Saccharomyces cerevisiae S288C: one gene and its partners. Changing the gene in region 2 together with the main gene of any one other region gives a genetic interaction. Each region holds a gene or a part of one and is shown on either strand. Other genes may lie near its edges. The genes, in order: BUD27, RIT1 and CAT5.

Region 1 (3,760 bases), on a different chromosome or scaffold from region 2:
TTCTTATTACCATCGTCATCATCATCATAATCGTCATCACTTATATTTTCGAGAATTTTGGGATCAAATTTTTTTTTCATTGATTTCGATGATCTTGGTTTTTGCAGTGATTTTAGCTTTTTCTTTTTAAAAGGAGTCTCAAACTCGCTCTTGCTGTTAATTTCCGGTTCTTTTTCCACTATATCGTTGATAGTAGGTTCTTTTTCTATAATATCCCCCACAACAGGCTTCCTTTCCACTATATCGTTGACAGCAGGCTCCCTTTCCACTATATCGGTGACAGCAGGCTCTTTTTCTATAACATCCCCCACAACAGGTTCTTTTTCTATAACATCCCCCACAACAGGTTCTTTTTCTATAATATCCCCCACAACAGGCTCTTTTTCCACTACCTCGTTCTCCACTGACCTTGTCGTTTCCTGTTTGAAAGTTGATAACGTATTTTCTTTTTTAGAAGCTCTATCCTTCCGGAATCTGGACACCCTAGTTCTTCTATTCGACCTGCTTGCTTCCCCTTCAAGTCTCTCTTGATTTATCAGTTCCTCTTTATATTTTTCATGCACTTCATCGGCCTCTTGGACACCCAACATCTTAGCAAATAAATCACCATCAAACTCATCCGATGTCATTTTATTAGCGATACCTGTGCTTTCCTGGGTTTCATACATGGGCACCGCAAAGGATTGCATCTGCCTCTTGTTCTCTTCTTTCAAGTTTTCGACTTCGTGAATTTCTAGAGAAGATGCAAACCCGACTTGTTTCTTTTTCTGCTTTTTGTCTGAATTCTCAGCAAAAGAAGACTTTTTCAAAATAGGTTTTAATGATTTATTAACGTCACCTTCTTCCCTCTCATGATCTTGGGATTGCTTTTGTGCGCGTAGGCGTTGAATTTGTTGTAAAAATGAGGACTGCGCTTCAAAGCCAGGTATAATAGAATGATTTAGATACTCTTCTTCATCTTCGTCCTCGTCATCCTCTTCATAGTTATCATTGACTTTGAAATTGGAGTTTTCGAACGCATCATAATCATAATTTATTTCATCAGTTTCAATATAGCCGTCCTCCAATTCATCTTGTTGGTCCATCTGTTGGACCAAGTCGGCAAATGTATACACGTTTTCTGTATCTACTTTAGATGGCTGCACTTTTTTCTTTACTTCATCGTTCCTTTTCAATAACTTTCCTTTCAAGTTTTCTTCGAATGACTTTGATTTCTTCTCCTTTGCTAATCCTTTCTCCTTTGGACCGACTGCAGGTGTCTGTTCTTTTTTGGAATTCGATTGTGATGGTTGCTTTGTTGTAGGGGTAACGGAACTACTTATGACATTTCCCTCGTCATCTAGTTCTTCTCTAATCTCCATAGAGGGCAGAAAATCTTCGTCGTTGTTCGCTTCGTCTTCTTCAATTCCATTTCCGTCCTCCATGTGATTCAAGTTGTCTAAGGTCTTTTTAGCCTCTTCGATCTTCAGGTTAAATTGCTCAATGGCGTCCTCCATTAGTTTTAATTTATCATCAACAAACGTGATGGCCTCCTCTTTGGTCTTTTCAACGTAATACTCATAGCCTAGACTTAGATATATCTTACTCGTAGAAATTATGATATCACCAAACACCATCCCTTGGCCTTCGCCTTCTTCTTCGCCATCATCATTGTCATTGATAAATCTAACCAGTCGGCTTCTGATATCTATATAGTGCTCTCTTTGTTCCGAAAGAAAGTTTCTCTTATCTTGCAGATTTTTCAACGTACTTTCTACGCTGGCCGCTAACAAATCCATGGCTATTACAGTCTGAGGATACCTGTTTACTATAAAATTCTACAGAATATTCATACAACACTCTCTGTTAAAACCTTTAAGAGCAGCTCATCGCCTATCCTCCAAGGATAAATTTCAAAACACCCAAACATTAGGGTTACCCGTATATCGCTACTTCTTCCCATACTCGCTCACCATAGTTAGCACCCCATACCGCAGGAGTAAGCGAGAAACAAAGGGATAGAGGAAAAAAATTTTCTCCGTCGGCCGCGGGTGGCAAAAGCACGATCCGACCACAAAATTGTACTATTACATATCACATGGTATAGCATACAAGCAATACCTGTGAGAGGTTACTACACAAAAGCAAAAAAGTTTGCAAAAATCAGCCAAAACTGTGCTCGTATTCTGGTGGTCATTAGACACTCGCAATATTATTACACCACATCGCGTTCCTCTGAGCTGCTATAATAAAATAAACGCTATCTATTTTTGACTCCTCTTTTTGCCACCCTCGCCTTCCTTTTGTCCATATTCTCACATTGTACGGCAACTGCGGACTTCAGGTCAACATAAATAAAAATTGCACACGATAGGGTAACATTATAGTCACGTGCTTATAAAAACATTGTAATAACATTAGCAAATAACGATAATAACGATGCCGACACCTTCAAACGCTATAGAGATCAATGACGGTTCGCATAAATCTGGTAGAAGCACTAGGCGGTCTGGATCTAGGAGTGCGCACGATGACGGTCTAGATTCATTCTCAAAAGGCGATTCAGGTGCTGGAGCCAGTGCTGGTAGCAGTAATAGTCGATTTAGACATCGAAAAATATCTGTGAAGCAACATCTTAAGATATATCTGCCTAACGATCTGAAACACCTGGATAAAGATGAATTGCAACAGAGAGAGGTGGTTGAGATCGAAACTGGTGTAGAAAAAAATGAAGAAAAGGAGGTCCATTTGCATCGAATATTACAAATGGGTTCTGGTCATACAAAGCACAAAGACTATATTCCGACCCCGGATGCTTCTATGACTTGGAATGAATATGATAAGTTTTATACGGGCAGTTTCCAGGAGACCACCAGCTACATCAAATTTTCTGCCACTGTGGAGGATTGCTGTGGTACCAACTACAATATGGATGAAAGAGATGAGACCTTTTTAAATGAACAAGTCAACAAAGGTTCATCAGACATTTTAACTGAAGACGAATTTGAAATACTTTGTTCCAGTTTTGAACATGCTATTCACGAGCGTCAACCATTCTTGAGTATGGATCCGGAAAGTATACTTTCTTTTGAAGAATTGAAGCCCACATTAATAAAATCAGATATGGCTGATTTCAATCTAAGAAACCAGCTGAATCATGAAATAAATTCTCATAAAACACATTTTATCACACAATTCGACCCCGTATCTCAAATGAATACGAGACCTTTAATTCAGCTGATAGAGAAGTTCGGCTCTAAAATTTATGATTATTGGAGAGAAAGAAAAATTGAAGTTAACGGGTACGAAATTTTTCCGCAGCTGAAATTTGAAAGGCCGGGTGAAAAAGAAGAGATTGATCCCTACGTCTGTTTCAGAAGAAGAGAAGTGAGACATCCGCGGAAAACAAGACGTATAGATATCTTAAACAGTCAGCGTTTAAGGGCGTTGCATCAAGAATTGAAAAACGCGAAGGACTTGGCCCTGCTTGTTGCTAAACGTGAGAACGTTTCCCTAAATTGGATTAATGATGAATTAAAAATATTCGATCAAAGGGTAAAAATTAAGAATTTGAAAAGATCTTTGAACATTAGTGGAGAAGACGATGACTTGATTAACCACAAGAGAAAACGCCCCACGATTGTTACGGTCGAACAAAGGGAAGCTGAACTAAGGAAAGCTGAACTTAAGAGAGCAGCTGCTGCAGCAGCGGCAGCGAAGGCAAAGAACAATAAAAGGAATAACCAACTTGAAGACAAATCTTCTAGGCTCACCAAGCAGC
Region 2 (3,760 bases):
CATCTTTTGATCGATCAATTGCACATACCGTGTGAGTTGAATAGGATTTTTTGATTAAAATATCATTTATGACAGCCCTACCCATTACATACGTTCTTCGGGGATAGACAGAATGACATATTGTGCTATTCGGCAGTACACCAAATTCACGCAGCGATTTCACTGATACAGTGCAGAGCCTCTTCGTGTAAAACCTCAGAACACTGTAGGATGGATGTTTAACCAGTCTATTTATCCACATTAATCATAAATTTAGGTAGTGGACTGTTAACGAAGGAGAGCTTCGTTAATTTGTTCTTGATTTTACATATTCTTTTCATTAGCCAATGTCTGAAGGGCTCTTTTTCAATGAACCTTTTCTGTTCAGGATAAACGGTAACCCGCTCTTTTTCTAATAAAAACTGACGTTATTTGATATTAAAATATACAGTGACATTGCGAGTAAACATCTCAGTATTGCCTAACTCACTACATTAAAAAGCTATTGACGCTGTTCAGTGTTGCTCTTGAAGGGTTAACGTTGCGTCCTTTCAAGTGGGAAATCAATTTTGTCAAGTGTTTTCTTACAATAAGCTTACTGATGTCCGGTAACTCCGACGTAAGCATCCATTCTTCAGTATATTTGGTACAAAGGATACTTAAGATGACACCGATTGACATATCAGTACCTGTATTGCAGCATATTAGCATTGGCTTTATTTTTTCATCTCGATTTGTAAACAACGATTGAATTTCTCCATGGATTCTAGGGAATGTGGATCGTAAAGCTTTTGAACTTTTCTTGTCTCCGCTTTGCAACTTGTATATTGAAATAAACGGATCTGTCCCACTTTCTTCTTCATCGTCTGTATCTTCAGCAACAGTCACCGAATTACTGAAAATTATAACTTTACCATATTCTGACTTCAATTTCTGTTTCAAATTCTTATTGATGGTTAAGCCTGAACTCACTTTTCCTAGAGATATCTCATTCGTAATTTTATCAATGTTTCCAAAGACTTCATCCAAGCTTCCTTTATCTTGTATATAACACTGATTTCTCAGCTTTGCAGCAGCCAAATCCATGATGTAATCATGTAACTGGTCGTCTGAATAACTTGCGTCGCCTAGGTATTCTATATGGGCCCAAAACATATTTGAATCCAAACCAAAAGACCAGAGCTCGTGATCGTCGGCTGCACCCTGCACATAAGTGAAGCCGTATCTTTTATCCATACCATCTTGTGCTTGATAGCTTACCGTGCACAAAATAATGGGTATTATGTTTTGGTCTTCAGGTGTTTCCCAGGCTTCATACTCCTGTACTTCACCCGTGAAGTAATCAACAGAATGGTCTAGAAGTGAAGAACCAGGGTGAACCCATATGGGCCGCAATAACTTACCCATAAACAGTTCGTTCAATTTCTTAGAATCTATAATATTCAATTTTTGTAGTTTAGCAACTAGTTCGGGTATTTTTCGCTTAATCATGTCATATTCTGATTTGGGAACTGTCTCAGGTGGAAGATACAGTACCTTATCGATGGCAACATTTTTTTCTGTTTCCTGAAGCATTAACGTATTTAATACAGCACACCATATGGGGACAGTCTTACTCAAAGCATCTGGGATTTTTTTACCTCTTCTAGTACTATCGACAATTATAATACCTTTATTATCTCGAATGGTCTCTAACAAATGAAAGTTCAATCTTCGGGTGCTAAAGTCCCATTGGTTGACATGCCCGTCTGTGCTCTTAAAGTAACTGGTCTGTTTGAAACTTGATGGATTACAGTACCATAGCCCACATCTTTCATTGGGTATCAGTGGATAATGGGGAAATATAGGGATAACTCGATCTTGCAAAAATTTATTGTCTAAAAGAATACTCTGAAGTCGATTCCTTACGGACTTGTTTTCCTTTCTGATGTCTTTATTTATCTGAGATAGCGAAAGATAAATATTTTCATCCATCACGGATATACTAAACTGTACTCTGGATCTATATCTCTTTGATAGCCTCGATACCATCCATCAAGAGATCAAAATTTTCAAGCATGCTTTTTTTTTCCTGCATATGAACAATGAATAATGGGCCCAGTCACAGTTAAGCAGTAATAAGAACAAAGCACATAAACATACAACGCATATATGAAGAGCAATAGAGTGGTGGGATGATTTTAGAAGTTCATTTTTGATGAAGATGATAAGATTATGTAATAGCGGCTATGCTAAGCTCCCTTCGGGCATGGAAATCAACAAAAAAGTTGTAACCGTACATAATATGACGGGAAATGCAACAAGCTTTCCAAGAAGTAATGGAAGGCATAGCTAAAGGACTATCTGGCTCGGCCATAAGTTTGAAATTTGTGTATACAGGTATAGGAAACCCTTATACCTACCTAAATCGTCGAAGCTACTGATATATTGCGTATAGTCGATATGCCCAATGTAATTCATATTTCATACTCTTCTCTTGTACAGATTAAGGGCACCTGTTTTATTCTTAGAATATACTACAACCTGCCTACTAATTAACAATGATACTATTAACGGTGCAAAACCGGATGCTCAAATTTAAAGTGATTACTCAGTTATAAACACGCCTGGTGTGAAATTAACGACCATTAATAAGAATAAATATTACTGGCATATTATAATATGCGGTGGAAAAACATAAAATAAGGATTGAGAAATAGTTATCAAGTATAATGGAAGCTGAAGTGCAAGGATTGATAATGTAATAGGATAATGAAACATATAAACGGAATGAGGAATAATCGTAATTTTATTATGTAGAAATATAGATTCCATTTTGAGATTTCTATCCTCGAGGAGAACTTCTAATATATTCTGTGTACATAATATTATATAGCCTTGATCAACAATGCAATCCCAACAATTATCAAATTATTCACCCAATATTCAGTATAATCCATATTTATAGAATATATAGGATAATTATCATCCCCTCAATCAAGTTGATATTCCGTTTTGACAACAGGTCACTTCTGCAAGGTTGCTTATATTAAAATTGTGAATAAGCATGATATTAGACGGACTCATAATTGAATGGTTATCAGTTAATTGACTCTCGGTAGCCAAGTTGGTTTAAGGCGCAAGACTGTAATTTACCACTACGAAATCTTGAGATCGGGCGTTCGACTCGCCCCCGGGAGATATTTTTTTACTTTTGATTACCTTAATTTTTGAAGATTCTCAATTTCATGTATTAGGGATTGCTTTAAGGTAGCTACCAAATGACATTCTCTGTATTACTGTTCTAGTTTTCAACAGTAAAGCTATGATTTGTTAAGTGACTCTAAGCCTGATTTTAAAACGGGAATATTATGCGCTCAGTCACTAATGCATTTGGCAATAGTGGAGAACTTAACGATCAAGTGGATGAAACAGGTTATAGGAAGTTTGATATCCATGAAGGAATTTTGTTTTGCATTGAACTATCAGAGACAATGTTTAAAGAGTCCTCTGATCTAGAGTATAAATCACCATTGTTGGAAATTCTGGAATCACTAGATGAGCTAATGTCACAATTGGTCATAACAAGACCTGGGACAGCTATTGGTTGCTATTTTTATTACTGTAACAGAGAGGATGCCAAGGAAGGTATCTATGAACTTTTTCCATTAAGGGATATAAATGCTACATTTATGAAGAAATTGAACGATCTTTTAGAAGATTTATCATCGGGGAGAATAAGCCTATACGACTATTTTATGTTTCAACAAACTGGGAGTGAAAAGCAAGTGCGCTTATCTGT
Region 3 (2,887 bases), on a different chromosome or scaffold from region 2:
GTCTGTAGAATTGAGAAAAATAGTATCGCAAAGTATATCGTCCAAAAGTCTGTCAGAAGTCTTCAGTGGTAGGTTGGTGGCAATATCTGGATACAGTAAGTGTTTTCCATCGTCAACATCTCCAGGGGTAGACTGCTGGTTTATACTTGTCCCGTATAATGGGAGGTCTTCTATAACAGACCCATTTCTGTCAGCATTTTCTTTATCCTGGTTTAGTAGTTGATTATGATGGTTCTCAATTGCTTTTTGAAGTTCATTATCTTCGTTCGGCATTTCCTTATACCTTCTTAACCTTGAACAAAAGCTTTCTTTTTAATTACCACTTTATTATTAGCAGTGGCCCCGTTTTTATGCAATGTTCTTCCAATGGCAAGCCGCTTGTTTTTTTCAAGCTATATGTACTATAGTTTTGCTCTAATTAACTGTTACTCTTGTTAAAGATCCAGTTTGTACTCACCCTTAGACTATGAACCCATACCCCATTTACATAATTATAGACAGTGTATCTATTCCTGTCATATTGGTCATATAGCGTTAAAATGCGTAAGGATGATACATAATTTTATACATGATAGTTTAATTAGGACATTTATCAAACCGTTTTCCTTTCAATTCTCCTTTTCTGGCATAACGCGACTGATGTATGCCACTTTCTGGTGGTTAAATTCTTTCGGCACTCCATATAGCTACTCTGCAAATCGTTTTAATACCTTCAGTGATAACTGTATATGGAACTGCCATATACGAATCATGCTTGATAGCGGTGTCTAGATGCTCTAGCTCGTCATCCCTGAACTGTTGGATAGTAGAAGTTAAGGATTTGATTTCCTCACTTGGACCCTTTGTTCCATCTGTTCTTTCTAAATTGAATTGATTGGCCAAGTTTCGCAATTGGCCATTGTAGTGCCCTCCGATTACTGTCTCGACAGCTTCAGTACAAGCCATAGCTGCTTCTGGAGAAATCAATGCGGTACCAGCCCCCATTGCAAAGGCTCCTGCCTTCCACAAAGGCGTTAATAAGGAAGGCCTGACTCTCCTTTTCAATTGCAAATTGTTAAAAGTATTATGATGATGTATCTCCTGGTCCCATATGTGCTTTAGCACAGGTTTCAAGTGAGGGTACCTATGAGCCAACACGAAGTACTGGCCAGCGTAGATGTAGTCTGCACCTAATTCGCCAGCTTGATCTACACGAATAACACGGTCCAAAAATGCAGCCTGAGCATCTGATAAATTCTGACACTTGGGAGCATGCTCAGGTTTTTCGGTGTGTTTTGCTGATGTATGTTCTGTTATCTTTAAAGATGATAAGACGGAAAAGCCTCTGCTGGCAGGTTTGAAAACTGAAACACGGGATAACATAATTTCTATGTATCTCTCCCGTATACGTGATATCTTTATTCCTTGAATTGGTTTGGAGGAGAAGATAACGACGTTTTCACAAGAATAAAACTCTCGTCTGTAAAAATAAGGAAACATGTTTTATAGATTTCTATTGTTTTTTTTCCTGAAAATCCCGTATATGAAAAATTATACAGTTGCTTAAAAGTTAGGGAAATATAGACAGAGTACGTACAAAGGATTACTGCATTCAAGACATTATGTTAGATCCATCATCTAGCACATCTCTCCAATCTTTCAGTTTGTACTGCATGTTTTTGGGATGATATTGGGGGTAGAATGTCTCAATGACCTTCAATAATTCGTCATGAAAAATTTTGTACCCTTTTCCGGAAAAGTGCAGTCCATCTGTTAGCAGTTGTTGCCAAGCATCACCACCTTCCTGTTGAAACGCCTTATTCAAAGCCACGAAGGGAACTTTTTCCTCATTGGCTAGTTTTGCTAAGGCATCGGAATAAATGGCAAAGTTCTCGTTGGTACGGAAGTATCCGAGAGCTATTTCTTCAGATTTTTCTTTTTCCCACTTCTCTCTATCTACTAGCCCCGGTCCTATTATAATAGGACGGATATGGTAAGACTTCATCAAAGATACCATTTGACGAATATTATCGATAAATTCGGGGAGGGGGACACTTTGGGGACCTGCTGAGCATGCATCGTTGGCACCCAAAAATATTGTGGCCATGACAATATTGGATTCATGCTTTAAAATCTCAGGAAGTATTTTCAACGCCCATCTAGAAGTGTACCCTTTGAACCCTCTTTGAAGAATATCCATTTTTCTCGTATATTCGTTGACTAATGCGGCTCCAAGAGCATACTGATCTTTGCCATCTTCAATGGGCCTAGTATTAAAAGCAAATTCAGTAATGGAATCCCCAAATAACAGAAACTTCTCGTAATCCATATTTGGTCACAGTTTAAGCGTACGAACAGATGATAATGTAGAGGCTAGTTCTTGGTTTCGTATGTGTTACCACGATGAGAAGGTGTAAAGTGCCCTTATTATTGCGCGCTTTATGCCGTATTAGGAAAAATGAAAAAAAAAAAAAGGCAGTTCTCGAGTTTAGATTTGATATAATTAACGTGTGCTTTTCTCTATTGACCTTTGATGAGATTGTATCAGCCAACTGGCTAATTCATTGAACGTTTTCCAAGGGTAGGACTGCTCAAACAGACTAAATTTCTTTGCCAAATAGGGTGTTTTGAGTTTTGATCAGTCAACATTCTTGATCAATTCACAGTTGCTTAAAATAGAAAAAAAAATTGATCGGTATCACTAAAATTTTTAAGAAACTGAAAAGCACCACGGTTTTGACATTTATCTCTATTATAGCTTTTTGTACAAGACAAGGATAGCTGATTCAGGTACTAGTGGTGGAGAGAGCGGCATATTAAAATGGCATCAACTGCTCCCAATGAACAATTTCCATCCTGCGTACGATGCAAAGAATTTATTACCACGGGGCATGCATATGAGTTGGGT

Evidence for each region.
Region 1: mutations in RIT1 (region 2) and BUD27 together harm fitness more than expected from each alone (negative genetic interaction), as found in Saccharomyces cerevisiae (2 studies listed by BioGRID).
Region 3: mutations in RIT1 (region 2) and CAT5 together harm fitness more than expected from each alone (negative genetic interaction), as found in Saccharomyces cerevisiae (3 studies listed by BioGRID).

Annotation. Positions count from the first base shown.
Region 1 is NC_001138.5:89,004-92,763, reverse strand, and holds the start of BUD27 (prefoldin-like protein), read right to left. Parts: upstream 1,779-3,760; coding exon 1-1,778. Other genes in the region: EPL1 (Epl1p), read left to right, coding at 2,419-3,760. UniProt on the Saccharomyces cerevisiae protein: Involved in gene expression controlled by TOR kinase and nutrient signaling. May also be involved in positioning the proximal bud pole signal.
Region 2 is NC_001145.3:834,858-838,617, forward strand, and holds RIT1 (tRNA A64-2'-O-ribosylphosphate transferase), read right to left. Parts: upstream 2,011-3,760; coding exon 469-2,010; downstream 1-468. Other genes in the region: AEP2 (Aep2p), read right to left, coding at 1-241; ATP-dependent DNA helicase YKU70, read left to right, coding at 3,330-3,760. UniProt on the Saccharomyces cerevisiae protein: tRNA backbone modifying enzyme that mediates initiator/ elongator tRNA discrimination. This enzyme modifies exclusively the initiator tRNA in position 64 using 5'-phosphoribosyl-1'-pyrophosphate as the modification donor.
Region 3 is NC_001147.6:558,370-561,256, forward strand, and holds CAT5 (putative monooxygenase CAT5), read right to left. Parts: upstream 1,363-2,887; coding exon 661-1,362; downstream 1-660. Other genes in the region: ubiquitin-specific protease UBP2, read right to left, coding at 1-273; IAH1 (isoamyl acetate-hydrolyzing esterase), read right to left, coding at 1,592-2,308; GTPase-activating protein RGA1, read left to right, coding at 2,801-2,887. UniProt on the Saccharomyces cerevisiae protein: Catalyzes the hydroxylation of 2-hexaprenyl-3-methyl-6-methoxy-1,4-benzoquinol (DMQH2) during ubiquinone biosynthesis.